2 linked regions of the Diceros bicornis minor genome follow. The protein of the gene in region 2 purifies or fractionates together with the protein of the main gene of each other region. This does not show direct contact. Links are inferred from orthologs where the notes say so. Each region holds a gene or a part of one and is shown on either strand. Other genes may lie near its edges. The genes, in order: FAM20B and GOLPH3.

Region 1 (15,230 bases), on a different chromosome or scaffold from region 2:
ATGCTTTAGTATTTCCAGAACGTAAATTGCGTGGAAAGAGAGGCAGAGAAGGCAAGTGGGTCCCAGCCCTGGAGGTTTTGTATGCTCTATCAAGAACCTTAGGCTTTATTCTCTGGGTCACTGAAAGGTTATAAGCAGGTATATAATATGGCTCAGATTTCCTTTTAAAAAGATCTTTCCAGATGTAGTTTTCTACATGGATTTTCTAGAATAGATTGCAAAGGGTTGATGTGGGAAGGTTGGAGACAGAGGCCAGAAGAGAGATCACTGCCATAATCCAGGAGGGAGAAAAAGGAGTTTGAACACAAGCAGTGGTGGTGAGGCTGGAGGGAAGAAGCTGGATTCAAGGAGTCTTTAGGAGCCATGACTGGCAGCTCTTGATACTGACTGGAGGTGGCAGTGAGGAAGATGAGTCTAGGACAACTGGTGTTTCTGGCTTGGGTGGGTGGTGGTCACATTAAATGAAGACCAGAATACCAGAGGAGAAACAGGTTTGAGGGTGTCTTGGGCATTGCCTTAAACTGTTTTTCTTTTTCCTCCTTTTCCTGTGCGTTGCCATGGAGGAAATACTACCGTGGTATTGCCATCTCTGCCAGGGATTTGCTAACCTCTTTGAAAACCCTTGCACACTCCCCTCATGGGTCCCCTGCACTCCCTTCCCTGAGAGACTTCCCTGCCCATATGTCATGCCTCCCCATTTCTCCCACAAGGCCCCCCAGGGACACACCAGGCACGGCAGCAAGGTGTTGGCTCCTTTCTCCCTGGGCTCATAGTCCCACTGTGTCGAATATCTTGTTCTCCCCAGTTCTGGGCCACCTCCCTGTTTTATGAACATCTACCTTCTAGTATGGAGAAACTGCAGGCCTGAGCACCAGATATCCCCCATGCACGTGTTTTATTTGGCCTGCCCTGTATTTAAAATGTATATATTCTTAAATGTAAATGCCTTTGAAGGACAGACCAGTTTCTCTGTTCCCTCACCACTTCTTATTGTCTCACTGTTGGCCTGCTTTGCTCATTTCCCTTCATGTTGGCAGCCACAGGCTTCCAAATGTTTAAGCTTCACTGGAAAGAGAGATGCAGGGAGTCTGGTCCACCAGGGGCAGCATCTTGACCAGCCAGGTCATTGGCTTCCCTGTCACATCTTTCTCGCCCTTACTCACTGCAGGACAGGGGTTTGAAGAGAAATGACTGGTTTCCTGTAGAATGTCTTCTGAAAGACCAATCTTACCTCCCCCTCAAAAATAAAAACAATTGCCTGTATATCAGACTGAGTCATATGAAATTGCCGATATTCAACTAGTTTTGCCCTATAAAGATGGCAATTTCACATAGTTCAACCTATTAACATGATCCTGGCTTAGTCACTAGTAGAACAGTGGTTCTCAGCCTTGGTCGCAAATTAAAATAAGCTGGGAGCTTTTTAAAAAATACCCTTGTTAGGACCTCCCCCTAAGAAAATTAAATTAGAATCTTTGAGGATGGTGGCAGGCATAGGGATTTTTTTCATTTTTTTTATTGATGTCATAATAGTTTATAACGTTGCGAAATTTTAGTTGTACATTATTGTTTGTCAGTCACCATATAAATGTGTCTCTTCACCCCTTGTGCCCACTCCCAGCCCCCATCCCCCTGGTAGCCACCAAACTGTTCACTCTGTCCGTGTGTTAGTTTATCTTCCACACATGAGTGAAATCATGCGGTGTTTGTCTTTCTCTGTCTGGCTTATTTCGCTTAACATAATACGCTCCCAGTCCATCCATGTGGTTGCAAATGAGAAGATTTTGTCTTTTTTTATCGCCGAGTAGTATTCCATTGTGTATATATACCACAACTTCTTTATCCAATCATCAGTCAAGTGATGCTTGGGTTGCTTCCACTTCTTGACTATGGTGAATAATGCTGCAATGAACATCGGGGTGCATAAGCCTCTTTGGATTGTTGCTTTCAGGATCTTTGGATAAATACCCAGTAGTGTGATAGCTGGATCATAAGGTATTTCTATTTTTAATTTTTTGAGGACTCTCCGTACTGTTTTCCATAGAGGTCGCACCAGTTTGCATTCCCACCAGCAGTGAATTAGGGTTCCCATTTCTCCACAACCTCTCCAACATTTGCTATTTTTTGTCTTGTTGATTATAGCCATTCTAATGGGTGTAAGGTGATATCTTAGTGTTGTTTTGATTTGCATTTCCTTGATTAGTGATGTTGAACATCTTTTCATGCGCCTATTGGCCATCTGTATATCTTCCTTGGAAAAATGTCTGTTCATGTCAGGCATGGGGATATTTTTAAAGTTCCTGTGCAGCCAGATTGAGGACTACAGCTTTGGCACACCCCTGGGTCAGTCACTAGAGAGGCTCAAAGAATCTTCAGCTTAACTCCTTAGCACATTACCTGTAGGTGATAGGAGCTGAGTTTGAAGAACCCAGAACTTCCATGTGGTTGCAATGACCTCATGCAGTAATTAATGCTATTACTTCACGCATTAAATATGAGTTAATAAATTAATGAGTTAATAAAAACTAAAGAGCTTCCATCACAGCAAAAAAAAAAATTTGTATTAAATGTGCATGTAGTACCATTCTAAGCATATTACAAAATGACCACCTTGTGGGAATCAACAATCTGGAATTTGCAATATTGTCTCTGCCAAACCCATTGAAGAGCCCCTTGGCATTAGAGAAAGACACAACGAGCAGGAAAATGTTCAAAGACATGGCCTTGGGCATTCATGCAAGAGCATGTACCACAATAAAGTGTACATTTTGGGGTGATTAATTAAAATGACTGCAGCCTACATGGCAGTTAAGTGAAATACAGCTTTGAGAACTACTACTCCTTTGCATTCTTAGTAATTCTAGGAGTTTCACTTTCCCCTTAATGTATTTTTCTTTTTGCTTTTAATGAGCAGATTAAAAAAAAAAGTAACTGAATAAATAGATAAATATATTTTCAGAATAAAAGAGAAAATAGCCCATATTACATTTTGGGGTGATGAAAATGTCCTAAAATTAGATTATGGTGATGGTTGCTCAACTCTGTAAATATAATAAAACTATTGAATTGTACACTTTAAACAGGTGAGCTTTATGGTATGTAAGTTATATCTTAATAAAGCTGCTATTTTAAAAATAAACATAATACTAAGGTGGAAACAAATAACTGAAAGATTTCCACCACTTTCAGAATATGCATCCTGAATTTCTTGGCAGAGAAGCTGGGTGTGTCTGTGTGCTTTATAATGCTGTCCCTGGGACTTGAGAGGTTTGCTCAGACGGCATTGACAGAGATGCCACGTGAAGGGTTAAGTGGGCAGTCCTGATGCTGTAAGCAAGGGATGGGCTAGGAGTAGCTCTGCAGAGCCTGTGGCAAAATGAAAGAAAGGAGTCTGCCCAGTTGGGAAAGAAATGCAGAAGCAGGTCCACAGAGAGCCCCATGCAGAGAAAAAACCTGCCCAAGTGCAGTGGAGGCAGAGCACATGCTCCTGGAGGACACGTGCGCTCCTTCACTCACTGATGCTCTGTCACCCTCTCCCAGGCTCTCAGCACCTTGGAACAGGGTGAGCTCTCCTACAGGTCCCTTCAACTTTCTTGATGTGGAATTAATTAGTTTCAGTAGGATCCATCAATGTGGGTGTATTCTCGTGTGTGTGTGTGTGTGTGTGTGTGTGTGTGTGTGTGTGTGTGTGTTTTGTGTTCGTGTATGCAGGCACCTTGAGACAATACTCCCCTTATACCTCGGGATTGCTGAGCTGTTATTTGAGTCCTGGGGCTTGACAAATTGGCAGATACTTAGAAATTCCGAAACAGTCTAAGGAAAACACAATGACGAAGGGGCCAAGAAAGAAACTTCAAGGGCTCCTGATTTCCCATGTCTGCAGGACCTATTCTCCTAAAACTTCTCTTTTAAGTGTTGTGTTTACCATGGGCCATGTGAGCCCTACGTGCTAGTGTAGTACAGTGTTGGCACTACAGAAGATACAGATGCAACGAAAACACTCTTTCAGCCCCAAAGGGTTTACACTCCAGGGGAAGGGGTCAGACATATCCCCAAAGACGTCAATACAAACCATACCGCAAAAGAGGGACAAAGTACTGAGTCTTAGAAGCCCAGGAAAACACACACAGTTGGAAAGGTCAGGAAAGGCTTCAACAGCAAATGGCCTTTGGGAGATATGTAACATTTTCACAGGGGTGGGGTGAGGGGGGCCCAACTGTGGAAGTGGGGGAAGGGGGTGCCCTCAGACAGTAAGTGAGCCCTTTAGGGCAGAGGGTCAGGAATTAGCAGAAAATGGGCCTGGAAAGGTGGACTGTTACTGGAAATGCCAAGCAGAGAAGTTGCCATTAAATTCTGTAGGCTGTGGGCAAGCCACTGGAGGGTTCTGCACTGGGGCTACTAACCAAGATTCCTCTGCTGAAGACGTGTGTGCACCGCCCTCGGCTGGAGGGGGACAGCCAAATTCCTGTTCTGCTTTCAACTCACGGCACTTCAACACTTCAGTGCAGAAAAGGTAGTCTACTTGAGGCACTCCACGGGTGGAAATAAAGATGAAATAAAATCAGTCTGTGTCTTTAACAGCTTTGCAGTTTGGGAACAGAGAAGAGAGGAAAAGGGGGAGATTAGACAAAGATACCTAGAACCACAATACATCACATGAGTTGCGAAAGAAGCATCATGGAAGCCTTGGCAAAGTGCTCAGACTTTCCCAATGGGGGCTCTGCCTGACCTCCCATCCTATATCTCAATACTAGACTGTGAGCTGCTCAAGGATGAGGACCAGGCCTTCTTTGTCTTTGCACAGCCTGGTCTAGTTCAGTGTCTGGCACTGAGTAGACATCCACTGAAGGAACGAAGGAAGGGAGGAACACAGGGAGGGAGGGAGGGAGGAAGGAAGGAACAAATTACCTAACTTTGGTTCACATTGTTCGTCTCTTCTTCCACCCATGTTTTGCTCACCTCAATCCTCCCTCCCTGACAATACCAGCCCACACTATCTTCCTGGACCCTGATTCTTTCAGTGATCACACAGTCTGTGCTGCATAATTTAAGTCCCCCGTATTCCTTGCAGCTGCTTCCTGTGTGCTAGTCATGTAAACTCTTTGAAGGCAGAGTGCCCTTCTTAAATGATTGCATCCCCTACAACACCTAGAATACAATGACTATTGATTGGGTGGAGAATAAAGCCCATTACAGGAGGAGAGGGCAGAAACTAATATCCTGGAGTTTTGGGCACTGTGCTGGTATTGGGCATACATTCACAAAGAGGCTGGATAATGTGGCCTAGTGAAGAGAAAACTGGAGGACAGAACAATTTTGCTGTCTGAAAGCCCTTGACACAGAGGCCCTGAACCTTTGGCTCTCCTTCTCTGAGGACAGAAGAGGAGAAAGTGTGTCTGTCCTGCAGCATGTGAGGGGCATGGAAGGATTTGATGGATGTAAAACTAAGCTCTGGAGTGGGTTGCCTAGAAGGCCATGAACCCTCCTCTCTGAATGTCCTTAAAGACAGGGGGGATCACTAGGAAGCTGGCAGGATGTGCTGGCCTCCTGAGCAGTGACAGTGGGACAGTCCACCCTCACTGTCCTTGTTAGAGTTACAGGCAAGAAAGGAGAGTCCCTTGGAGGTAAAGCGTCTTACAGGAAGTGTTGATTTGCCCTTTTGCTTTATGATCTCCTGATGTAGTGAACAAGGTTGAAGGAGATTAGCTGACTGCAGGCAGACCAATGTTCCTGTGTAGAGAAATAAGGAAGACTCTCATTACCATCCAGCTAATTTTCCTAAGAATTATGTGTTCCGTGGTCAGAAAACGACCCCCAAAGCTACGTGCAGAAAAAGGCTGATACAACTCCTCCTGCATTTGACCGTGTGCTCCTTCTTGCAGTGATTAATGTTTTCTGCAGAGGGGCTGCCTCCCTAACTAGACTGTTGGGGGCCAGTGTCAAGCCCAATTATTTCTCTAGGATCTCCTGATAGTACATGCTCAATAAATACTCACAGGAATAATAACTAACATTATACAATAATTTACAAGTACTGTCCCAATCTAGTCCTCACAACAACCCTGTGAAGTAGGTACTATGATTAACTCCCGTTTTCCAGATAAGGAAATCGATACTCTGAGAGGTTAAGTGGCACACTCAATATCATGCAGCCTGTAAGGAAGAGTTCTTTCCACTACACTCTGCTGCTTAAATGAACTATATAGCCTGAAAAAAGTGTCAGCTCGGTCTTTCCCCCATCACATATCTTATCCCATGGAGCAATGTGCATTATAATATTTCAGGGAGAGGTATACTAAGTCCAAGCTTTGTATATGGTGAATAAACGAATGGATGTATTATACAGCAGATGCTCTGTATGCCTTCAGTGGAAAGGAAACAACTTAAGGGGTGGGAGAATCTTTCATTCAAACTATTTATAGGGAGTCTACTGGGTGTCAGGCATTGGAGACCCAGACACAACTCTCCTGCCCTCATGGCACTTACAGTCCATTGCAAGAGACAGATGTTAAGCAACTATTACAGTAAACTAACCACAGTTTTGTTAAATGCTACTAAACGTAGCAGGGAGCTTTGCTCTGAATCCGAAGGAAGAGCGATTTGCGCTCACTGTAGGAAAGTTGGCCTCTTTTAGGCAAGGAGGATACATTTAGACAGGCAGAAGCAGAGGCAAATTAAAAGGGTAAAAGAAGGAAGGAAATTGCTTCTCACAAACAGAACTTGACCTATGGGACCCCAACTCTCCAGTCCCGCTGCCTGGTTGCCTACCTGCTTAAGAAAATCGGGAAGGAAAAAGCAACGGCAAGACGAAAGAGACAGGTCACTTTATGTAAGCTGGTGGGGCGGGGCGGCAGAGAGAAGGCGAGTCGTGAGCCGGCGCCGAGAGTGTTAACCGGGCATGGCCCTGGACGGAAAGGGTTAAGGGGGGCGGTCCAGAGCGGGCCCGGTAGGCCCGCCCATCGGAGGGTGAGGGTGGGGCCTCGCAGGAAGAGCCCTTGGATTGGTCGCGAGGAAGGCGTTACGCTAGGACGTTACCAACAGTCGGGGGCCGCGAAGGCGCGGGGTGGGTGTGGGAGCGCCGGCTGAGCGCGGGCAGAGGTGGCCGGGGGATGGCCGGGCCGGGGGAGGGCGGGAGCTGCAGTGGTGGCGGCGGCGGCTGGGGGCGGTGAGCGCGGCGTGGGGCTGCCCCTCCCCGGAGGCGGCAGGGGCCGCCGGGGCCGCGCCGCAGCGCACCGCGCGGGCGGCCATGGAGCGAGCCTAGGGCCCGGCAGGTGAGCGGCGTGGGGGCGGGGGAGGGTGCGCGACCCCCGCCCTCGGCGCAGCGGGCTGGCGGGCGGGGCGCGGTGCGTGGCGCGCGTCGAGCGGGGCTGCCTGGGGGCGGGGCGCCGGTGCCCTGAGCGGTCCTCGAGCGGCCGCGGGCGGCTCCTGGACGGTGGCGCCGCTCCCTCAGAGAACCGGCCCGGGCCGTGCTCCCTGCCTCGCTGGCCCCGAGGCGGTTCCTGCGGGCGGTCGTGGCTGAGGGGACGTGGCCTTGGCCGCCGCCTCTACGGCCAGCCTGAGGCGCGGGCCTTACCTGGGGGCGCGTCAGGCCGCCCGGGGTCCTTTTAGCGACCAACCCTCGCGCCCGGACGCCGTCCCCTGAGGCGACTAGCCCCGGTGCCCACCTCGGGTCCTGCCGAGCGCCCGCGGCGGCGGCCCGGGGAGGATCGCGGGCTCACCTCGTAGCCGCGAAGCGCGAGTGACCTGCAGGCCCGAGGCGGGAGGCGGGGTAGTTCTGCCCAAGGGTTCGCGGTCGCTCGGGGTCTTGCACCCCGCGCTCGCCGTCGGGCCAACTTAAGGAAATGATACGGTTGTCCACAGTGGGTTGCGCTTCAGATTTCATTTCCGGGTGTGATGGCCCGGCGATTTAAGAGCGAACCGAAACGTTGCCATTAATAATGAATGTGAGCACTTGTCAAGCTGCGTCCTTGGTTGCGGGATCTGACAAGAGTTTCATTCTAATCAGGCTTCTGTTACCTGGAAGTCTCCTGGTAGGCAGAGAAGGGACAGAAAGATGTTGGAGAGAAGGTGGAGGGGACAGGGCATGGTTGGTGGTTATGGAATTATTAGTACTTTAAATGGCCATATCATTATTTGGATGGGTGAGGAGTTTATAATTTGGGAAAATGAGAGATGCTTGAAACTGACTTGAGTTGAAGACCAGGTATCAATATCGTTCCCACCCAACCAGTTTCCCTCTGGAAATGTGATTTCTCAGCTTGAAAAGAAGGAGTAGTAGTGTGGGATCTTTTAGCTTTTAAGTTGTAGGACTTTATAAATATGTAATCTGGTAGTTAAGATTGCTGTTTACTAACTATTCCTATCCTCCATATGTTGTAAATTAATGCATACATTTCATTAGGGTTGATTTTTTTAAGGTAGGTTAGAGACCTCAGTGTGCTCATGTATGGCAAACATTTCTTGAGTTTATGCAGGACCTTTGAGCTAAGCCTTAGAGCATTTCCACGTATATTGTTTTTCATCAAGACATGTTTTTGAGAAACTGAGGTAAAGTGTTAAAGATGCTAAATTATTTGCCTAGAGCCAGTCTAAGGTAGATTTAAAATTAAATTAATGTTTTGTGTTAAATTAATAACTTTTCTGAAGTTTATGAAAATGTTGGACTTTGGCCTCTAGAACCATACAGTGGACTCAGTCAACAGGATTGACTGTACTTACCAGAGTTTGAAAGTACTTATCAAAGGAGAAGAAGGCACAAGCAAGTAATTCAGACTTGCAGCCTCGCTCACAGTAAAGTGCAGTGATAGAAATGGAGGTAAAAGATGGTCAAATCTTGGAGCTCACAGCTTTCCTTCAGTGTGGCTGGTGAAAATGTGACATTGATTTGTTCAGTTTGTTTCTCTGGAATTAGTAGGAAAATAGTGAAGGGGAGGAAGACTATACCCACTCTGGGTCCTTTCTGGCTGGGCTACAAATTAAATTGACATAAGACTGAATAGCAGGAGAAAATCAGACAAAGCTTTATAACCTGTATACATGGGAGAAACCAGGGAAACTGAGTTTCTTAACAAAATGGTGGAGGTTCTCTTCTTAAATAGATTTAGATAAAGACAAAGGAGGATGTTGAGGTGCGGGGGAGTCAGTTATGTGTGATTACCAGAAAAGCACAGTAAGGTTATTATGCAGCCTCACCTTCTGCATTGATAAGTTTCTAGAGATGAGATCATCTCCCCCTCCCCCACTCTTCCCAGTACAGAGAGGGAGATACTTTTACAAATGGAGATTTCCCTTACAAATTTAAATGTTTGTTAAACAGAACTTTGATAAGAATGGACTTAGCAAGAACCCTCCTATCTGTCGCTTTTCGGAGTAAGTTTGGGGGAAAGTCAGTTTCTTTCAGAGAAAATCAAGGTAAAGAGACGTGTTTTGAGGTGGCCAATTTTCATCTTGCACAATAGCTATGATTTGGTTAAAGAATGAAAACACATGCCTTGCTTTTCGTTCTGGCTACTTTGAATTAGGGAACAAACAAATTACTTTTTCTATCATCTAATCCTTTATGTCATAGAATTATTTTATGTTGAGTTGATAATTCTTTGATTTTTAGTCTATTCTCTTGATTTCCAGTTGTAGACGCCAACTCTTTCACACAGCCTTAAAGCTTCTGCTTTTTATCTTTTCTGAATTTTAGAATTCTAAGGGAAATTTTCTTTGTTTCTATTACTTGCAGGGCAGACTTCAGCTTCCTACACTTTGTGTGACGATCATTTCAGTGGTGTAAACCCTGAAGCCAGATACTTCAGCTCTTGACTTGAGAACTTTTTAAAATAACAGCCACAGTGGTTGTCCCTTGGTGATTGCTACAATCTCATAATAGAGGTAGAAAGCTGCTCTTTGTATTCTGTGGCCACAGTTACAAATAATAAAAAGGAGACAGTCTTCTGAAGCTGATGTCAGGTCACTCTGGGATTAAGTGCCAGGTGGTTTTGTAGATTGGAGTGGGAAGCACAGTTACAATGAGACACTACAGTTTGTTGTAATAGTGATGATGTACTTTTCTCTCTGCACCTAACAGTGCATAGCACATAGTAGGTGTGCAGGAAATATTTGCTTGTTGAATGAACTATTGGAAAACAGTATGAGGGAAGGGGAAATAGTCTAATGCATATACTCAATTGTTTAGTTCTTTTTGTAAAAAAAAAATAAAAAAGGCCAAGAAAATGTGTTTCAGATTCCTGTTGAAAATATGCTATTGCAACGATTATCTGTAAAGGGTGTTACTTGCTGGAGCTGCCTTGAGATTTGATTCTGTGATTATATGGTGTTCTAGCTACCCGCAGCCTGGGAGCAGCCTCTGGTGCTCTGGTTGGGTGCAGCTTCACAGACTTGCTCCTGCAGCCTTCTCTGGCTAGGCTAACTGAGCAGTTGGATTGATAGTACTTTTGCATTAATAGAAGAACTAGAGCTCTTGGTAATGGCCACACCAGTATCATTGAACCTGACCGTCCATCTTCTCCTCCCTCATATTGTGGGAGGGAGAGGGGAGTTATCCCTCCTTTAAGTGCTTCTCCAGCAGCTCCTCATTCCACACCTACGTATCTCTCCCTCTTTTCCTTCCTTGAGCTGCCTTTATAACCCCCAAGAACTAATGAATTCATTAGCACAGACCTGGGATACAGAACAGAAGACCTTGCTTTGCAACTGAAATCAGCTTCTGACCAACTTATAATGTCCTGTGACTGCTAGAGCCGGCTAGGAAAGAATATAATGCAAAGATCTCACTTGTGATTTTGTCTTTCTTATCCAAAAGCAAAAGAGGAAAGGCCTAGCTCGGGACCTGATGAGTCTTGGGGGTGCATCTATCATCCCAGTATGAGATAAGAAAGGGAGGCTGATGCAGAAAAAAGATACAGAGCTTTGGTGTTTGTTTGGGGGTCTGTACTTTCTGGCAAGGTAACACCTTATGGAGGGAAGGTGTTAATTTGGGTACATTATCAAAGGAGGTCAAGGAATAGGAAATTACGAATGTGTAACAGAGCCCAGTACAGGGTGAGACAGTGATGTCTATCATTCAGTGCTCTCAAGTGCTGTCTTTCTGCCTTGTGTATATAGCAGTGCCTCATTTATCTACTATTGTTAGGCAATAAGGTATGAGCGACAATTCTTATTTTAGCTATACTTTTTGTGGAAAAAATTCTACATGTATTATATGCTTTGTTTGCTTTTTAAACAATATAGTGTAACCTTTCTTTATTGACTCGAGGTTATGATTACTGGCGTCCATTACCAACAGTAATTGAGCAGGGCTTTGAGGTGATTGAAATACATAGGTTGTTTTCCCCCTCTGCTTTTTTAATTCTTGCATCTGCTTTTAATAGTCAATCTGTCTCTTCTTTCAGAAGTGGGAAAGCTGTACTTGTGCTGTTGTTAGTGTCCCTGCTGCCCTCTTTTAAATTTGCAGCTTCTGATCTTCTGTGGAATAGCAACCCAGGTAACTCTGCTTCCTGAAATTGAATGTAAAACAGCTAAATAGGCTTTGTAAGGGTCTGCCTGCTCTTCTCTATTAGTGGATGAACTTTGTGAGCACTATTTTGGCTGCCCAAAGCCCTTTTGTTCATTTCTTGTTTCTCATCCTTGGTTTATTTATTTATTTTTATTTATTTATTTTTTTTGTGAGGAAGATCAGCCCTGAGCTAACATGCATGCTAATCCTCCTCTTTTTGCTGAGGAAGACCGGCTCTGAGCTAACATCTATTGCGAGTCCTCCTCCTTTTTTTCCCCAAAGCCCCAGTAGATAGTTGTATGTCGTAGTTGCACATCCTTCCAGTTGCCGTATGTGGGATGTGGCCTCAGCATGGCCGGAGAAGCAGTGCATCGGTGCGCGCCCAGGATCCGAACCCGTGCCGCCAGTAGCGGAGCGCGCCCACTTAACCGCTAAGCCACAGGGCCGGCCCTCATCCTTGGTTTAGATAATGAACTTGCACTCTGTATAGGTGTGTTTATGTTCCTGTGGTTCTTTTCTGTCGAAAAAAGAAAATAATATGGAAGTACTAGTGTTGGTTCTTGTTTCAGAAAGCATTGCCAATAATACTTGAAGATCTGGTTCCAGCCCTGTCTTGTATCATTCTTGGGCAGTGTCTTGGACCATCTGCAATCTTCATCTTAGCATTTTCAGATTGTCTTTACTCCCAGTCCCAACCAATGCTAGGAATCAGATTGGCACTAGCAGTTACCTTGAGAGGTGGAAGCGGAGTATAAAGAAGGCAGCAAGTGAAAATTGAGTATATAAAATTGGTATACATATTTGATATTTCTGCCTTTTTTACTGTATATCTGAATTCCTTACGGGACTTAGTTTCCCTATATCTGTAAAAAGTGGCCATCTTTAAACCAAAGAGCTGAAGAAATTCTTAGAACTGTAAAGGTCTCTCTCCCTGGCTCTTCACTCCTTTTATTCAACAAGCATTTATTGAGTACCTCTTATGTGTCCTGCACTGTGCTAGCTTACTTGGAAGTACAAAGAGGAAACATCTCCGCTGTTCTGAGGAACTCACAATATAGTAGAGGAGACAGGCATGCCAAAAAATACATATGTGTATGTGCATGTATATGTGTGTGTGTGTATTTATATTCATATTATAACAAAAGGATCATGCGTGGAGCCACTCAGCTAAAATTCAGCATAGACCTGGTTGGGGTTCTATTATTTCTAAAGTAATCTGTGGCCTGTCACCTTGACACATCCTAGAACATAAGGTTAAAAATGTGAGGTGTTAGGGCCGGCCCGGTGGCGTAGTGGTTAAGTTCTTGCGCTCCGCTTCGACAGCCTGGGGTTCTCAGGTTCGGATCCTGGGCGTGGACTGATGCACCACTTGTCAAGCCGTGCTGTGGTGGTGTCCCATATAAAGTAGAGGAAGATGGGCACGGATGTTAGCTCAGGGCCAGTCTTCCTCACACACACAAACAAAAAAAGTGAGGTGTTATTGTTGCATAAAGCTTATATACCTTTCCAAGAACTGTAGTGAACTGAACAGTAAAGATGGAAAACATATGAAAATCTGAAGGAGAATGTTATAGTATTTGAAATTCCATATTTCCACACAACATAGGAAATACATTCTATAATACAGCTTTAAATGGTGATTATATACTGACAATTGAGCAGTGAAATACCTAAAACTTAGGAAGGTTCATTATACCTGGCCCATTTGAAACAGAATGCAAATTCTTAGGCATTTTCAGAAAGTTTCTAGATCAGTGAACACTGCTTCTGTTGGTTTTTTAGAACAAATTGCACTAGCAGTATGAGCTGAAGATTTTGTTTTCATTTTTCAAGGAAGAGGGTTATAGGGTTGCCCTAAATCAAGGTTTAAATGGGACAGATTGCAGGAAGTGAATTTTTTTCAAAGAGGGAACAAACGCTATTTATTGCCTGTTTTATTTTTACTCTCACCCCCAGGAAAAAAGGCTGCCTTAATGCTTCATTAATGCCTAGTGATCGTTTTAGTTAGCTTCCGTCACAGGGAACTGTTAGAGGATTTCATGTAGGGGATTCTGAGTTTACAGATATGAATAAATGTTTAAATGGAAGTGAAAACAGTGAGGGAAATGTAACACTCAGACCAATTTGGACTATATGGGAATTAGATTTTCTGTACCTGTAAGTTAAGATACTCTTAAGGCTTATCTTAAAAGCTTTGGAACATGCAAAGCTGTCATCTTTAAAACACAGAGCTAATTTTTCCAAACTGAAGAATATTGTCAAGGGCATTCTATCTGAGCCTTTTTCCTGAAATAGAATAAGTTCATGCTTCCCATCTGTTTCAGTTACATTAAATGTGGTAGAATTGAACTTTGTAGAGAAGAGAAACAGGTCGGTCAAATTAGTGATGTTGGGGAAGAGGGAGAATCCCCTTCTGCCCTTTCCTTTAAGGTTCTTATGGCTGGCCAAATAATTAAAAGACAGGTTAGCAGGAGAAAATAATACTAAGTTTAATAACATGTATACATGGGAGAAACCACGGAAACTGAGTTTCTCAACAGAATGGCAGAGATTCTCATCTTAAATACCAACTTCAGCTGACGACAAAGGAGGGTGTTGGGGGTGGGGGGAGTCAGTTATGGGAGATTACCAGAAAAGCACAGTAAACAAGAATAAGGTTATTATGCAGATTTAAGGCCTCACTTTCCACATTGATAAGTTTCTAGAGACGAGATCATACCCCCTCTTCCCGGTACAGAGAGGGAGATACCTTTACAAATGGAGATTTCCCTTATAAATGTAAATGTTTGTCTGGCAGCTCTTTGCAGGGCCACCTAGAGAATGTGGCCTGGGAGAGACAGAATTTTTGATAAGAGGGACTTGGTGCCTTTCCTATTGTAACATCTATTTTACATTATGTTATAGCCATCATATGATAGTAGCTCCTTCCCAAAACAGGTCTTCTATGTTAAATTCTTTAGGCAGTTTGGAGGAGGTCAAATGTCTGTCAGAGAAAATAATCAAGGTAAAGAGACATATTTCAGGGTGGCCAATTTTGATCTCCCACAGTGACATAGCCTCTCAGTCTTCTGCTTCACATGGTACCCATTCCGAAGACACCTACTTGCTTACAGTCTTAGCTACTCCTCAAATTTAGGAAAGGATTTGGTTCAGGGATGTAAGACTACTTCAGCTCTTAATAATGCAACATGTGTATTCAGCCCCTGACCGTGTAACCCAGAAGAGGACATAACCAGTGAGGGTTATTTTCTTTGTCATTCTTTCTCCACTCAGGAAGTCATCTTTGGGTTTTTGATATGGTGATGACTAACAAGCAATTACTAGGGGTTGTCCAAGCACTGATTTTAGCACAGTAGATGTAATGTCATTCAATTTTAACAACTCTGAAAGTTACTAATAGTGTTCTTATTTCATTTTTCATGTGAGGAAACTGAGGCCCTAAGAGGTTAGACATTAAATCACTTTCCCAAGTCCCACAGTAGGTGGTAAAGCAGGAATTCAGGCCCAGGTGTTCTGAATCCAGAGCACACCCCCTTAGCCCATCTGCCTCAGAGGAGTTTATACAGGCATACCTCAGAGATACTGTGGTTTAGTTCCAGACTCCCACAATAAAGCGAGTCACATGAATTTTTTGCTTTCCCAATGTCTATAAAAGTTATGTTTATACTGTAGTCTGTTAAGTGTGCAATAGCATTATTTCTGAAAAAACAATGTACATGCCTTAATT
Region 2 (14,898 bases):
TGCTCCCCAAACCCTCCAATCTCCCCAGTCCTAAGCAATCACTAAGTTACTTTCTGTTTCTACAGATTTGCTCGTTCTGGACATCTCATATAAACAGAATTGCATAACATGTGGTCTTTTGTGATTGGCTTCTTCCACTTAGCATAATGTTTTCAAGATCTTCATGTATCAGTACTTCATTCCTTTTTATTGCCCAATAATAGTTCATGGTATGGATATACCACATTTTATTCATCCATTTACCAGTTGATGGATATTTTTGTTTCCACTTTTTCATTATTATGAATAATGCTGCTATGAATATTCATGTATAGGTTTTTGTGTAAACATATATTTTCATTTATCTTGGGTATATAAGTAGATGTGGAATTGCTGAGTCTTACACTAACACTATGTATTGCGCCGGCCCCGTGGCTTAGCGGTTAAGTGCTTGCGCTCCGCTGCTGGCGGCCCAGGTTCGGATCCCAGGCGCGCACCGATGCGCTGTTTCTCTGGCCATGCTGAGGCCGCATCCCACATACAGCAACTAGAAGGATGTGCAACTATGATGTACAACTTATCTACTGGGGCTTTGGGGGAAAAAATAAATAAATAAAATTAAAAAAAAAACTTATTAAAAGAAAAACTTTATGAGGAACTGCCAAACCGTTTTCCAAAGCAGTGCACTACTTTACATTCCCATGAGTACAGGATGAGGGTTCCAATTTCTCCACTTTGTCCACACACTTGTTAATATATTTTTTTAAGGACTTCTTTTTTTTTTTTTTTGGTGAGGAAGATTGGCCCTGAGCTAACATCCATTGCCAATCTTCCTCTTTTTGCTGAGGAAGATTAGCCCTGAGCTAACATCTGTGCCCATCTTCCTCTATTTTTGTGTATGGGATGCTGCCCCAGCACGGCTTGATGAGCGGTGTGTAGGTCTGCACCCGGGATCTGAACCCGAAAACCCTGGGCCGCTGAAGCAGAGAGCGTGAACTAACCATTATGCCACTGGGCCAGCCCCTGTATCTTTCTTTTTTTTAATAGCCATCCTTGTGGTTGTGAAGTGGTGTCTCACTGTGATTTTGATTTGTTTCCCCTGATGATGTTGAGCATTTTTTCATGTACTTATTGGCCAGTTCTTTATTTTCTTTGGAAAAATGGCTATTCATATACTTTGCCTATTTTTAAATTGGGTTGTGTTTTTATTATTGAGTTATAAGAGTTTTTTATATATTCTAGATACAGCTCCTTTATCAGATACATGATTTACAAAAATTTTCTCCATTACGTGAGTTTTCTTTTCATTTTCTTGATGATGTCCTTTGAAGCACATTTTAATGACTTTTTTTGTTTGTTTTTCTGCTGAGGAAGGTTGGCCCTGCGCTAACATCCGTGCGCATCTTCCTCTACTTTATATGTGGGACGCCTGCCACAGCACGGCTTGATAAGTGGTGCATAGGTCCGTGCCTCGCATCCAAACCTGTGAACCCAGGGCCACTGAGGCAGAGCACGCAAACTTAACCACTACGCCCCTGGGCCGGGCCCAATGATATTCTTTTAATGATGTTCAATTTATCTCTTTTTTTCTTTTGTCACTTGTGTTTTTTGTGTCATATCTAAGAAACTATTACATAATCTAAGATCATGAAGATTTATGCCTATGTTTTCTTCGAAACATTTTATACTTTTTAGGTCTTACATTTAGATCTTTGATACATTTCAAGTTAATTCTTTTTTTTTTTTGAGGAAGATCAGCCCTGAGCTAACATTGGTGCCAATCCTCCTATTTTTGCTGAGGAAGACAGGCCCTGAGCTAGCATTTATTGCCAATCCTCCTCTTTTTTTTCCCCTTTTTCTCCCCAAAGCCCCAGTAGATAGTTGTATGTCATAGTTGCACATCCTTCTAGTTGCTGTATGTGGGATGCCGCCTCAGCATGGCTGGACAAGCGGTGCGTCGGTGCACGCCCGGGATCCGAACCTGGGCTGCCAGTAACGGAGCGCGCGCACTTAACCGCTAAGCCACGGGGCCAGCCCCTGAGTTAATTCTTGTATGTGGTGTAGGGTAGGGGTTCAACTTCATTTTTTTGTATGTGAATAAACAGTTGTTCCTGTACCACTTGTTGAAAAGACTATTCTTGGGGCTGGCCCGGTTGGGCAGTGGTTAAGTTTGTGTGCTCTACTTCGGTGGCCTGGGGTTCGCAGGGTCGGATCCCTGGTGCAGACCTACACACCACTCATCAAGCCACGCTGTGGTGGCATCCCACATACAAAAAGTGGAGGAAGATTGGCACAGATGTTAGCTCAGGGTCAATCTTCCTCACCAAAAAAAAAAAAACACCACTATTCTTTGGCCATTGAATTGTCTTGGTACCTTTGTTGAAAATCAACTGACTATAAATGTGAGAATACATTTAGAATGTAGTCACTTTTTTTTTGGTTTTAAAGTCTATTTTGTCTGATATTAATATAGCCACTCCAGCTTTTTTATGTTTGCTGTTTGCATGATATATATTTTTTCATCCTTTATTTTCAACCTATTTGCATCTATGGCATAATAAATTACTATAAGTGCACTGGCTTAAAACAACACACATCGGGCCGGCCCCGTGGCTTAGCGGTTAAGTGCGCGCGCTCTGCTGCTGGCGGCCCGGTTCGGATCCTGGGCGCACACTGACGCACTGCTTCTCCGGCCATGCTGAGGCCGCGTCCCACATACAGCAACTAGAAGGATGTGCAGCTATGACATACAACTATCTACTGGGGCTTTGGGGGAAAAAATAAATAAATAAATAAGTTGAAAAAAACAACAACACACATTTATTATCTCACAGTTTCCATTGGTGGGGAGTTTAGCCAAGCTTAACACCATCCTCTGCTCAGGGTCTCACAGGTTGTAATCAAAGTGTCGGTTGGGCTACATTCTCATCTGCAGTTTGGGGTCCTCTTCCAAGCTCATTCATGTTGTTGGCGTACTTCAGTTGCTGTGTTTCTAAAGCTGAAACTATCAGCTCTTAGAGGCTACCTCTCTCCATAAGCAGTTCACATTATGGCTGTTTTCTTCTTCAAGAGAATGTCTTGAGAGTCATCAAGAGTTGTCTCAGCTGACTCAAGTCTCTGTCCTTAGGGAAGGGTTAGATCTGCCTGATTATACTCAAGGGACTGCCTGATTATGCCAGGCCCACCCAGGATAATCTTTCTTTTGATTAACTCAAAGTGAATTCGTTAGGGACCTTAATTACATCTGCACTATCCCCTCCCTTTTTGCCATATTCTAATAGTTAGAAGCAAGTCACCAATTCTGTCCGCAGTCAAGGAGAGGGGATTACACAAAAGCGTAGATACCAGGGCAGCAAGAATCATGAGGGCCATGTTAGAATTATACCTATGACAGATGGGGACAAGGGTAGAAGTGTAACTTCTCAATGTATGTGTCTTTTATCATTTTGATTTTTGAAGTATGTGAATTTATTACTTATTCAAGAATAAAATAAAAATTTAAATCTTTGAAACTTTGCAGTTGTCTCAGTGGATTTTTGTCTTTTATGACAAAGACCACTTTGTGTAATTGATTTTACCCTAAAATCATTGAGTCATTATGAGGTCCTGGTTAGGAGCATGGACTCTGGAGCCAGGCTGTGGAACTTTAGGCAAGATATTTAATTTCTTTGTGCCTCAGTTTCCTTTTTTGTAAAATGGAGCTAATTATAGCACATAATCAGGATATTGTGAGAACTAAGCGAGCTAGTATATTAGCATCACTCAGACGCTGCTGCTTGATAACACGAAATCTTAGTGGCATACAAAAATAAGCATTTATTTCAACAATCCTGAGGTGACTAGAATGGCTCTGCTGATCTCAGCTGGATTTGGCTAGGCTTGGCTCCGGACTATGGATTCCTTCTGCCTGCTCTGTTCTCATTCTTTTGGGATTAGCAGACTACAGCAGAAGAAGTGTTTTCACCACCATGAAAGAAGCTCTTCTCATAGCAGTAGCCAAAACCACAAGAGGACAAGCACATCTGCATACGCCTACTTCACACCTCTGTCTGCATCACACATCAGCTAACATCCTATTTGCCAAAGACAGTCACGTGGCAATTAGCAAGGTCAAAGCTTGGACCAAGCCCAAAGTCAAGGGGTGATGAAGCATACTCCATCTACTACAAGGCCATGGCAAGGATGTGGTGTATAATATGACTACAGGGGAGTGAAGAGTTGTGATCTATATAGTTCAATCTTTATTAACCTGTAAGACACTTACAAAATAAATGCTCAATAAATCTTTGCTATCATTGTACTAGATTGAAAAAAAAAGAAATAATATTGTTGAATGCCTCTGAAAGGTTTGCTGGTTATTTCAATAATACTGCTATGCTTCAGAATAAAGCTGGGATAGGAATGTAAAATGGTACAGCTACAGCCATTCTAGAAAAGAGTTTGGCAGTTTCTTAAAAAGCTAAACGTACTTACCATGTGACCCTAATTGCACTCCTGGGTATTTATCTTGGAGAAATGAAAATATGTCCACACAAAAACATGTACATGAATGTTAATAGCAGCTTTATTTGTACTAGACCCAAATTGGAAACAGCCCAAAAGTCCTTTAATGGATGAATGAGTAAACAAACTGTGGAACATCCATATCATGGAATACTACTCAGCAATAAAAAGGAACAAACTATTGATACACAGCATTTGGATGGATCTCAAGAGAATTTTGCTGAGTGAAAAAAGTCAACCTCAAAAGACTACCTAGTGTATGAGTCCATTTATATAGCATTCTCAAATGATAAAATTATAGAGATGGAGAACAGATTAGTAGTTGCCAGGGGTAGGAGATGAAGGGGGGACAAGTGTGGGAGATGGATGTGACTATAAAGGGGTAACATGAGGGATCTTTGTGGTGATGGGAAAATTTTGTGTGTGTCTTGATTGTGGTGTTGGTTACACAAATCTACACATGTGGTAAAATTGCATAGAACTACACACACACACATACACACACACACACATACACACATATAGGTGCATATAAAACCCATGAAATCTGAATAATGTCTGTGGATTGTACCAATATTCCTTTCCTGGTTTTGGTATTGTACTATAATTATATAAGATGTTACTGTGACCAGGGAACCAGGCAAAGAAAGGGTTACTGAGGATCTAGTCAACAACTAACACATCTGTCACATGTTTTTCAGACAAGAAGAAACTATGTGTTTTGTTTTGCAGAAATTGATGTCCCCATTTTGCAGATGTTGCTATCTTGCAGAGAAACTCACACGTTTGCAGCAAGACCCCTGCAAAATGTTCCAGCTCCAAGTGTCCTAAAGTTACCTTAATTCATTAGCACTTTAAATTCTCCTCCTCTGGGAGGGTCCAAACAGCCATTTTCAGATCATGCGATGTATGTGATAACATGTTTACCTGCTATGCATGTGACCTAAACAAACACAGTTGTTACAGAGTTATTACAAATAAACTTGTTATATTCTGCTCTCTTGTATATAAAGTCTCCACTGGCAGTCAGCTTGGGGCCACACGGCTTTGGGAGCTAAATCTTGTCTTGTCCGTTGCTTGCACAAGCAATAAACGTTTTCTTCACCTACTTTTGCTTTGTTTATGCTTTTCGACCCCATGCTCACCATTGAGTTTGGTTACATTACCATTGTGGGATACGGGTTAAGGGTACACAAGACCTCTCTGTACTTATTTTGCAACTTCCTGTAAATCTATAATTATTTCAAAAATTTTTTTATTAAATTTTGAGTTATGGTGAGAAAGGCTTCTCTTCAAGGTTATAAAAGAGTTCACTCATAGTTTTCTTCTGGTACTTTTATAGTTTCATTTTCTAGGTGTTTTGAAATTTTTATCAGATGAAAACAGAAAGCCCCTGTACATCCAACTCCCTACACAACAGCTCCTTTTGGAAGTTTCATATGCTCCTCAAAAACTCAACTGACATAAACTCATGCAAACTTGGTCAGTGCCCAGTGGTCCCTATCTCAGTGAATGTCTTTCTCATGCACTCTTACACAAGTCAGAGGTGGGTGTCAACCTTAAAAACTTTTCTCCCTTATATTCCACTGATTCCATAGTCAATCTTCCATTGATTTGTGTCAATTTTACTAAGTATCTCCTGAAAACATTCACATCTCACAGTCTCTTCTTCCATGATCAAAGTTAAGTTACCATGAGGTCCTATGGGACTACTGCAAAAACTAACTGGTTCCTGTATTCATTGTGACCACCTCCTTGGTACATCTGGTGAGCTTTTCAAAATAGAAATCTAATATTACACACCCATGCATTCCATCCTTCCCCACATAGAGCATTTAAAAGTCCCTTTGATGGCTTCTCATTGTATTGGTTGAAAACAAGACCAAAATCTTAAAATGGCCTCACAGCACTGCATGATTTGACCCTTGTCTGTTACTATCGCTTTTGACAACACTCTCCTCCTCAGCCCAGCCAAAATGGTCTTCTATTTGATTCTCCACCATCCCATGATCTCTCCTTGCCATAGGGCCTTTGCACATGCTATTTGCTCTTGCGAATGACCAACCCCAATTTGGTTTAGTTAACTTCTGTTCATTCTTTGGCTTACTACTTCCTCAGAGTTGCTTTCTTTGAGTCCCGGATAAAATATAAGATTCTTATATATCTGAGAATACATGCTCTCATAGTACTGTATTTCTTCTGTATTCAAATTTATACGTTAATTATTTATAACGTTTCTCAATTTATACGTTAATTAGTGTGGTATCGGTGAATATCTGTGCCTTCCACTAAGCAGCCTCATGGATGCTATGACTGTGTCTCTTTTGGCTCCCTATGATATCCTCATTGCTTAGCACACTGCCTGGCATACAGAAAATATGTATAAATATAAATATTTGTTTAATGATTGAATTAAGGACCTAGGTTACAATGCAGGCTTGCAATTTGTTAGATATGTTATGTTAAGCAGATTACTTAACTTCTCTGAACCTCAGTTTCTTCACAATTAAGATGAGTGTTTTAGTCTGGGACTCCCAGAAAGCAGGGTTTAAGACAAAGGCTTTTGTGCTACTATTTTGTTAGGGAGTGCAACTCTTGGGAACAGGAAGGGAGAGGGGGAGTGAGGAGTGAAGGGAGGGAGAGCCATACTAAGAATGTGTTGTTGAGCTTGTTGCAGCTAAGTGCCACTGAGAAGTTGTATAAAGGATCTCAGGGGCTGGCCCGGTGGCTCAAGCCTTTAAGTGCACGCGCTCTGCTACCTCGACTGGGGTTCCCTGGCCCAGATCCCGGGCGTGCACTGATGCGCGGCTTGGCAAGCCATGCTGTGGCAGCGTCCCATATAAAGTGGAGGAAGATGGGCACGGATGTTAGCCCAGGGCCAGTCTTCCTCAGGAAAAAAAGAGGAGGATTGGCAGATGTTAGCACAGGGCTGATCTCTCCACAACAGACTGTTATGACCTAGTCACACCTGCCACATTCTATGCATTTAAAGAGAGTCACTAAGTCTGGCCCACCCTCAAGGAGAGGGGAATCAGGCTTCACCTCTTGGGAGGAGGAGTATCAGAGAATTTGTTGACATATTTTAAACCCACCAGGGGAGGGGATGGGGAGAACAACTGGTTGAACAGGGGCAGGGCTGGAAGGAAGATTTTCACTACATCTATCTGCATACTCCTTGAACTATGTATTTGACTATGTTAAATAATAAATTAATTACATTTCCTTTAAAAAGAAACATTTTTAAGCTATTTGGTAAAGAACTGGGAGAGACATGAAGGAAAAAAGAGTTGAACAGGATGTGAATGGGGGAAATTGGTTGAGCTGAGGTTGACCTTTGCCCATAGACAGGAAAAAGGGAGGGACTACTTTGTGCTCACCCTGCCCCCTTCTCCCCACTCCAGGAGACTTAGCGTTCTCCCTTTCCAGGGCTTGGGGTGGTGATAGCGAGCGGCTAGTAGGAGTTCCGGATAATGGGTTTGGGGAGGGGGAAGAACTGTAGCCAGAATGTTCTATGGAACAGTTTTACGGCGTGCGTTTACCATTTATCGTTTATTATGGCTTAAGTCCTGTTTACAACAATATATTTTTCCTATCTAAACCATTCTGTAGCCACAGCCTGTGGTCTTTGTTGATTTTAAATAATATTGGATGGCATACAATGCTATTGCTGCATAATGTTATACGCTCCACCCTTCTGGCCCTCCAACCCCCCCCTTTCAAGTTCCATATCTATTCTTTAACATGCACAAACGGTCAAGTACGCCAAGAGGATTTAACCTAGCAATTACATTGAGAGAGATTTAATGTGTACAAAGACGTGGCATGAAACCTAACAGGTTTATTGTATCTATAAAAAGTTTGTTCAGGTCGAGTGTACTGACGTGGGCAGTACAAACTGTACTCGCGGCGCCCCGGTCACTTTACAAGGCGGGAGGCGAGGAAAAAAGTTTCGCGAACAAAACTATTCAATTTGTTCTAACCTTTCTTTTCATGCAGTAATATACCCAGAAAACACTAAAAGTCCACTTTCAAGCCATTTAAACGCAGTCGCTCCTTCGGAAGGGTCAGAGGCTACGCGCAGAGCGCGCGCCCTCTCCTCGCCCCGTGGCAGCGAACAAAGTCCTTCCTGTGGCTGTGGGGACCTGGACTCCAAGCCGAGTGCCTGGAAGCCCGGCCGAGGCCAGCCCCGAGGATGCTGGCGTCTGGGGTGCTAAGGACACAGCTCGAGGCCGAGCAGAGGGCCCCCTCGCGAGGCCACGGCTGCCCCGATTCGTGAGGGGCCTCACCAGTCTCCGGCTGCAGCCCCGGGTCTGGGGGTGGGGCGGAGGGGGAGGCGGCCTGAGGAAGGACACGTCACCGGACGGAGGCCGCGGCGCCGCTGGCGAAGGGATGCCAAGCCAGGGGCGAGCGCCGGAGGAAACCCGGGCCTGGGGAGGGGGTCGCGGTCCTCCGGCCCCCGCCCTGGGACCCGCCCGCCGCTTCCGGCGCCCTCCGGGTCCGCCCCGCGCTCGCGGTGCCACATCCTCCGGTGACGTCAGCCGGCGCCGCCATATTGGAAAGGCGCCGCCGCCGCCGCCGCCACCGCCTCCGCCTCGGCGCTCGGGCTGCCTTGGGGGCCGCGACCGCAGGAAGGAAGGGTCCTGTCTCCCGCCCCGGCGACGGCCGGCTCGCCCCCCTCGCCGCCACCCGTCTCCCCATGACTACCCGCGGCCCCGCTGCTGACAGCTGTCCCCCCAGCGCCCGGATTTAACACGGAAGCCCGGGTCGGGGGCCGCGGGGGGGCGAGGAGGGAGACCCGGTAGGTCCCGCGTCCCTCTCGGCCCGGCGCCGGAGCCATGACCTCGCTGACCCAGCGCAGCTCGGGCCTGGTGCAGCGGCGCACCGAGGCCTCCCGCAACGCCGCCGACAAGGAGCGGGCGGCGGGCGGCGGCGGCGGCGGCGAGGACGACGCGCAGAGCCGCCGTGACGAGCAGGACGACGACGACAAGGGCGACTCCAAGGAAACGCGGCTGACCCTGATGGAGGAGGTGCTTCTGCTGGGCCTCAAGGACCGAGAGGTACGGGCGCGGCGGGCAGGGCGGGGGCGGCCGGCGCGGGCGCGGGGCCGGGCGCCAGGCGGGAGCCCGGCCTCGGCTCCGCGCGGCCGTCCTCCGAGCTCGGCGCTCGGGAGCGCACGGCCGGCCCGGTGCCTCCAGACCCTCCGCGCGCCGATTGCTTGGATGTTTCCTTCCACCTCTCCCAGTCTTGTCTGTCCTGTCGAGTCCCTGGCAGTCTATATCTTGCTTGCTTTTCCCGCGTGTTTCACCTGTGTAGACCCCAGGGTACGTTTGCAGACTGCCCGTTAGCGTGCAACGCCTGGAACCACCAGGGCCCTGAACTGCTGGGTTTTGCAGGTTTTAGGATTTGGGAGGGCTCCACGGATCTGCTTTTTGGGGGCTTAAAAAAACAAAACAAAACACTTAAGGTGTACTGTTTGGAATTTTGCAAAAATTTCGGTGCAGTGGTAATGGAGGCAAAAGTTATTTTACTGATAAAAGTGAGGCAATTCTTAATGAAACCGCCTGGAAAATGACTTTCTAGGTAAACTTGCTTTGGGTGAGAGATTATTAGAATTGCTTTACGTTTTATCAGTCGGCTGTTCTCGAGAAAGTCTTACTATCTTAAGGAAGGGTTTTTCCATGGGGTACTCGAAATGCTAGATTTGTGATTTAATGAAAGGCCTCAAAGCTTTGGGTAGGTTCAAGTTGGAATAGATAGTTTGTGTTCTGGCTTTGAAAACGGTTATTTTCACCCCAGTGTCTTGTGAGAATTTTCACACATAGAGAAGTTGGGAAAAAAGAATGCTACAGTGGACACCTGGGTGCTCACTTCTTAGGTTCTATAATTAACATTTTGCTGTATTTGCTTTACCACTTATCCACTCATCCACAAAAATGATTATTTTTAAAATCAAACTTGAGGACGTTTAGAAAGATGGATGGATATTCTATAAATTAGGTACCATGAGGTAGTTTCAGAAACTTGTTTTATCCTAGTATGGAAACTACCGACAGCACATTCTGAGTCACACACAAATTTAAGTTTTGTCTGTCTTGATTTTTAAGAAAGATTTCCCAACTCACAAAGGCGGGCAAAAAAATTTCATCCTTATGAAACAACTCTTATTTCACTGAAACTTGTCAGATATAGGCTAAAGTTTATCTTGATAGAAATGTCTAGAGTATTTGCAATATCCAGGTTTCCTGTTTGCTCAGATTTTAATAACGATCACCTTGAAAAAAGTGGAAGTCCCTCTGGCTGTGAAAAGGGCCCAGTATCTGTTTATTAATCACTGAGTTATGATGAAAGCAGGCTGTGTGTGAAATTACTTTTTTTTTTTGGATGAAAAAGCAAACGAGATGTATAATGTCTTAGAAATGTGATTTTTAGAAAGTTTTCAATTTGCCATTTTAGGCTTCACAATTTAGAATCTTGGTAATAAACATTTTTCTTTGTCTTTATCTTTTTCCTTTGGGAAAAAAGTTACATTTTAGAGAATTAAAAAAAGCAAAATGAAGAGAACAAGTCATTCATATTCTTGAGTGAACATTTTGGTTTATAGTTTTTGATGCTTTTCTATATGGATACCGTACTGTGTGTAAAACTAAAACTTAAAAAAACCCCTAAAACTAGCCTTGGCTTTCTGAGTCACATTAAGTGAGGAATTATTGTGAGAAAGTACCTTTTTGCTTTTTCAAGTATGTGTTACTTTAGGTGTTTAAGCTAAAGCATATTAACATGCTATTTTTCTGTGATTGGTTTTCATGAAGATGATCTAAAGAATTATTTCTCAAAGCTTGATGGTATTCACAAAGTTTAGACAATTTACAGTTCTTTGGTGGCAGGTAATTGAAACCATCTGTTGTATTTATTGCGTGTCATGGGTCACTATACTTTGCCATGTCATGGCCAACATCCAGACACTAGCTAATTCTGAGCATTTTTTGCTGATTTCAACAACTACATAGAGAAATTTATTTTCCCCTTTTGCAAGCAAGTCAGGGAGTTGGAGTGGAGAGGGGTGAAGTTGAGATTTTGCGTTGCTTTAGATTTTGGTTTTAGGGAATAGCCTATATAGTTTTTCCTGTCCTCACATCATTACGTACTAATCATCAGTCCTGTCAACTCATCTACTCATGTGTTTTTCTCCCTGGGAGATTCCCCACCCCCATCACTCTTTAGGGGCAGGAATTACTCTCTCACCTACAGTCTAGGCATTTAGGCTTGAATATTGTTAGATTTTAACTTAATTTGATATTAAGTAGTTCCGAACTTTAGCCGTAGTATATATGTTAGTACATTCACTGCTTTAACTTTTTATTATTTTAACTTAGCATACATATTTGTAATATTTGGGTGCTTTTAAGATATTTAGAAGCTAAACTTTATGGTTAGGCAGGTCATTAATGCTGGACACATTTTGTGTATATGTGAACTAACCTTATTTGAAATCAATACAATCAAGAAAAAATTTTAAGACATTGTGAAATGGTGGAGTTAATTTTACTTTGACTTTTTAAAAAAGCTGAGACTCATTCTGGTTTTGTAAAAATATTTTTTGTTGAATAATAAACCTACAGAAAAGTGCACATATTATATGTGGTGAATTTTTACAAACTGGACACACCTGTTAAACCAGTGCCTAGAGCAAGAAACAGAAATGACCAGCTCTCCTGAAGCCCCACTTGATCTCCTTTCCAGTCACTGCCCAGTCCTCAAGGGTCACCACTAGCTTGACTTCAGAATTCAGCATAGAATGATTCTGCCCATTTTTGTACTTTCATTTGTGTCTTACTTTTGTTTAGCATTGTTGGTGAGATTCATCTACATTGTGTGAGGTTGTCATCGTTCATTCTCATTGTCTTATCAACTTACTTTTAACACGTTGATAATCTACAATATTTAAAACGTTACTTTGACTTATATCCTGAATCTGCTTGTTCTCCCCTTTTCCCCTTTACTGAATAGAAGGCTCAGAAGGTCTGGCTTCAGATTACACATTAGGGGTGACTCTAAAGTCATCATGAGAGAGTGTTTCTTTTTTAATTTTAAGTACACATTTCTGATAATTTTCCTTTCTGGCTTTTATTAAAACACAGATGCCTGGGCCCCTCGGGATTCCAGTGCTCAGTATGAGTGGAGCATCAGTGACATAGATGTTGGAGTAAATCTTCTGAGGCTGCAGCAAGGATGGCAGGATAGGTTTAAACTTGAATTCAACTTCCAAATAATTAGCAAGACTTCTATAATCTCCCTTGTGTTTGAGGGGGAGGGACAGCAAATGAGCCAGGAATTTTCCTTTCCCCAACTATTTGATTTTTCCATAGATAGCTCCAGTAGTCAGCGTCTTCAGAAGACCTCATTGAGAATTACTGGTGTCATATGCTTTTAAATGTCTTCATTGGTGGCAAATCTTAGTGCTTTAAGTTTGGATTTGATTATTTTAAATGGCTGGGTGTAATTTAGAGTGTGCCTGTGGAACAGCAGAAGTGGAAAGAGGCATGTGTAGTCCTGGCCCGAGGTGTATCCTTTGTTTTACATATCATTGCAGCTCTCTAAGCCTCAAAGTTCTCCTCTAAAATGGAGAGAGAAATAATCCTTTCCCATGGTGGTTCTGGTTGGACTCTTGCAGACATTTACTGTTTTAGTCTCCACCATGTCTGCCCCCGGTTTTGTCTTGCTTTTAAGGCGTTCCCCATTGTGTGGGGCCCCAGGGTGTCCTATTGAAGCATTTACCCCTTCCCTCTTGTGGTGCAGCCAGACCTAGACTTGTCCAATCAGATGTTTTCTCCTGGGGCTTTGGGTCTTGAGAGCAGAACAGGCTGTGGGGGTTTTTCGAGACCTCCTAGAGTGTGGAAGTCCCCCCTTATCCACGGTTTTGGTTCCCCCTGGTCAGCTGCAGTCCAGAAATATTAAACGGAAAATTCCAGAAATAAGCAATTCATAAGTTTTAAATTTCGTGCCATTTTGCATAGTGTGATGAAATCTCACTCTGTCCAGAATGTGCCTCATCCCTTTGTCCAGTGTGTCCACACCGTATGTGCTACCTACCCCTTAGTCATTTAGTAGCTATCTTGGTTGTCAGTATATGGTTACAGTATATTGTTATAATTATTCTATTTTATTATTAGTTATTATTGCTAATCTCTTACTTTGCCTAATTATAAATTAAACTTTATCATAGGTATGTATGTACCTATCCCAAAAGGGATTGGTTCCAGGATTCCCCCCTCGGATACCAAAATCTGCAAGTACTCAAGTTCTGTAAATAAAATGATGTGTTATTTGCGTATAACCTATACAGATCTTCCTGTATGCTTTAAATCATTTCCAGATTACTTATAATACCCAATACAATGTAAATGCTTTGTAAATAGTAGTTATACTGTATTGACTAGGGAAAAGTGACAAGGAAAAAAGGCTGTACATGTTCAGAACAGACAACCATTGTAGGCCTTTCGATCTGCGGTTGGTTGAATCCATGGATGCGGAACCCTCGGATATGGGGGGCCCAAGTGGGTAGGAAAAAACATAGTATATATGGGGTTTGGTATTATTGCAGTTTCAGGCATCCACTGGGGATCTTGGAAGGTATCTCCTGCGGATAATGGCGGGGGGACTACTATAGTTTCAGTGTGTGGATCAGACTGTCCTCTGACATGGTTCTTTGAGCTTTTTTCTCCCTAGCCCATTGATGCTGTCTTTTCCATCCAGATTTTCTAGGCACTTTTTAATTTTGTAAGCCTCAAGAGTTGTCAAGTAAAGTCCCTTTTTCAATAGCCAGAGTCAGTTACTAATGTTTCTAATGCTTCCAGACGAGAACGCCAATGCAATAATTTCGCTCTGTATCTTGAAAAATAAGTATGCTTGAGCTGAATAATACACACTTAGGGTAAAATAGTTAAGTTTAACTAAAATAAGGGAACTGACTTTTATGTGGCTTTTAAATTGGCTCCAAAGATGGGTCCCAAAGATATGTTCCATTTTTGGAATAAGTTTCCCAAGGTCACTACTTTGAAATACAGGGCTTATCAAGATGTGTAACTTTGGGGCCGGCCCCGTGGCTTAGCGGTTAAGTGTGCGCGCTCCACTGCTGGCGGCCTGGTTTCAGATCCGGGTGCTCACCGACGCACTGCTTCTCCGGCCTTGCTGAGGCCTCATCCCACATACAGCAACTAGAAGGACGTGCAGCTGTGACATACAACTATCTACTGGCGCTTTGGGGGGAAAGAAAATAAAATTAAAAAAAAATAATTGCTAAAAAAAAGATGTGTAACTGTGTGTGTAAGGAAGGTTGGCCCTGAGCCAACATCTGTGCCCATCTTTCTCCATTTTGTATGTGGGACGCCGTCATAGCATGGCTGGATGAGTGGTGTA

Evidence for each region.
Region 1: the proteins of GOLPH3 (region 2) and FAM20B purify together in Homo sapiens (affinity purification with mass spectrometry; 3 studies listed by BioGRID and IntAct, with this or other methods). This does not show direct contact. The link is inferred for Diceros bicornis minor from reciprocal best matches to the Homo sapiens genes GOLPH3 and FAM20B.

The regions. Positions count from the first base shown.
Region 1 is NC_080743.1:87,897,504-87,912,733, reverse strand, and holds the start of FAM20B (glycosaminoglycan xylosylkinase), read left to right. Parts: upstream 1-7,186; 5' UTR 7,187-7,271; intron 7,272-7,545; exon of another isoform or gene 7,546-7,943; intron 7,944-7,973; exon of another isoform or gene 7,974-8,030; intron 8,031-11,399; exon of another isoform or gene 11,400-11,491; intron 11,492-15,230. UniProt on the Homo sapiens protein: Responsible for the 2-O-phosphorylation of xylose in the glycosaminoglycan-protein linkage region of proteoglycans thereby regulating the amount of mature GAG chains.
Region 2 is NC_080759.1:36,125,660-36,140,557, forward strand, and holds the start of GOLPH3 (Golgi phosphoprotein 3), read left to right. Parts: upstream 1-9,071; 5' UTR 9,072-9,317; coding exon 9,318-9,539; intron 9,540-14,898. UniProt on the Homo sapiens protein: Phosphatidylinositol-4-phosphate-binding protein that links Golgi membranes to the cytoskeleton and may participate in the tensile force required for vesicle budding from the Golgi.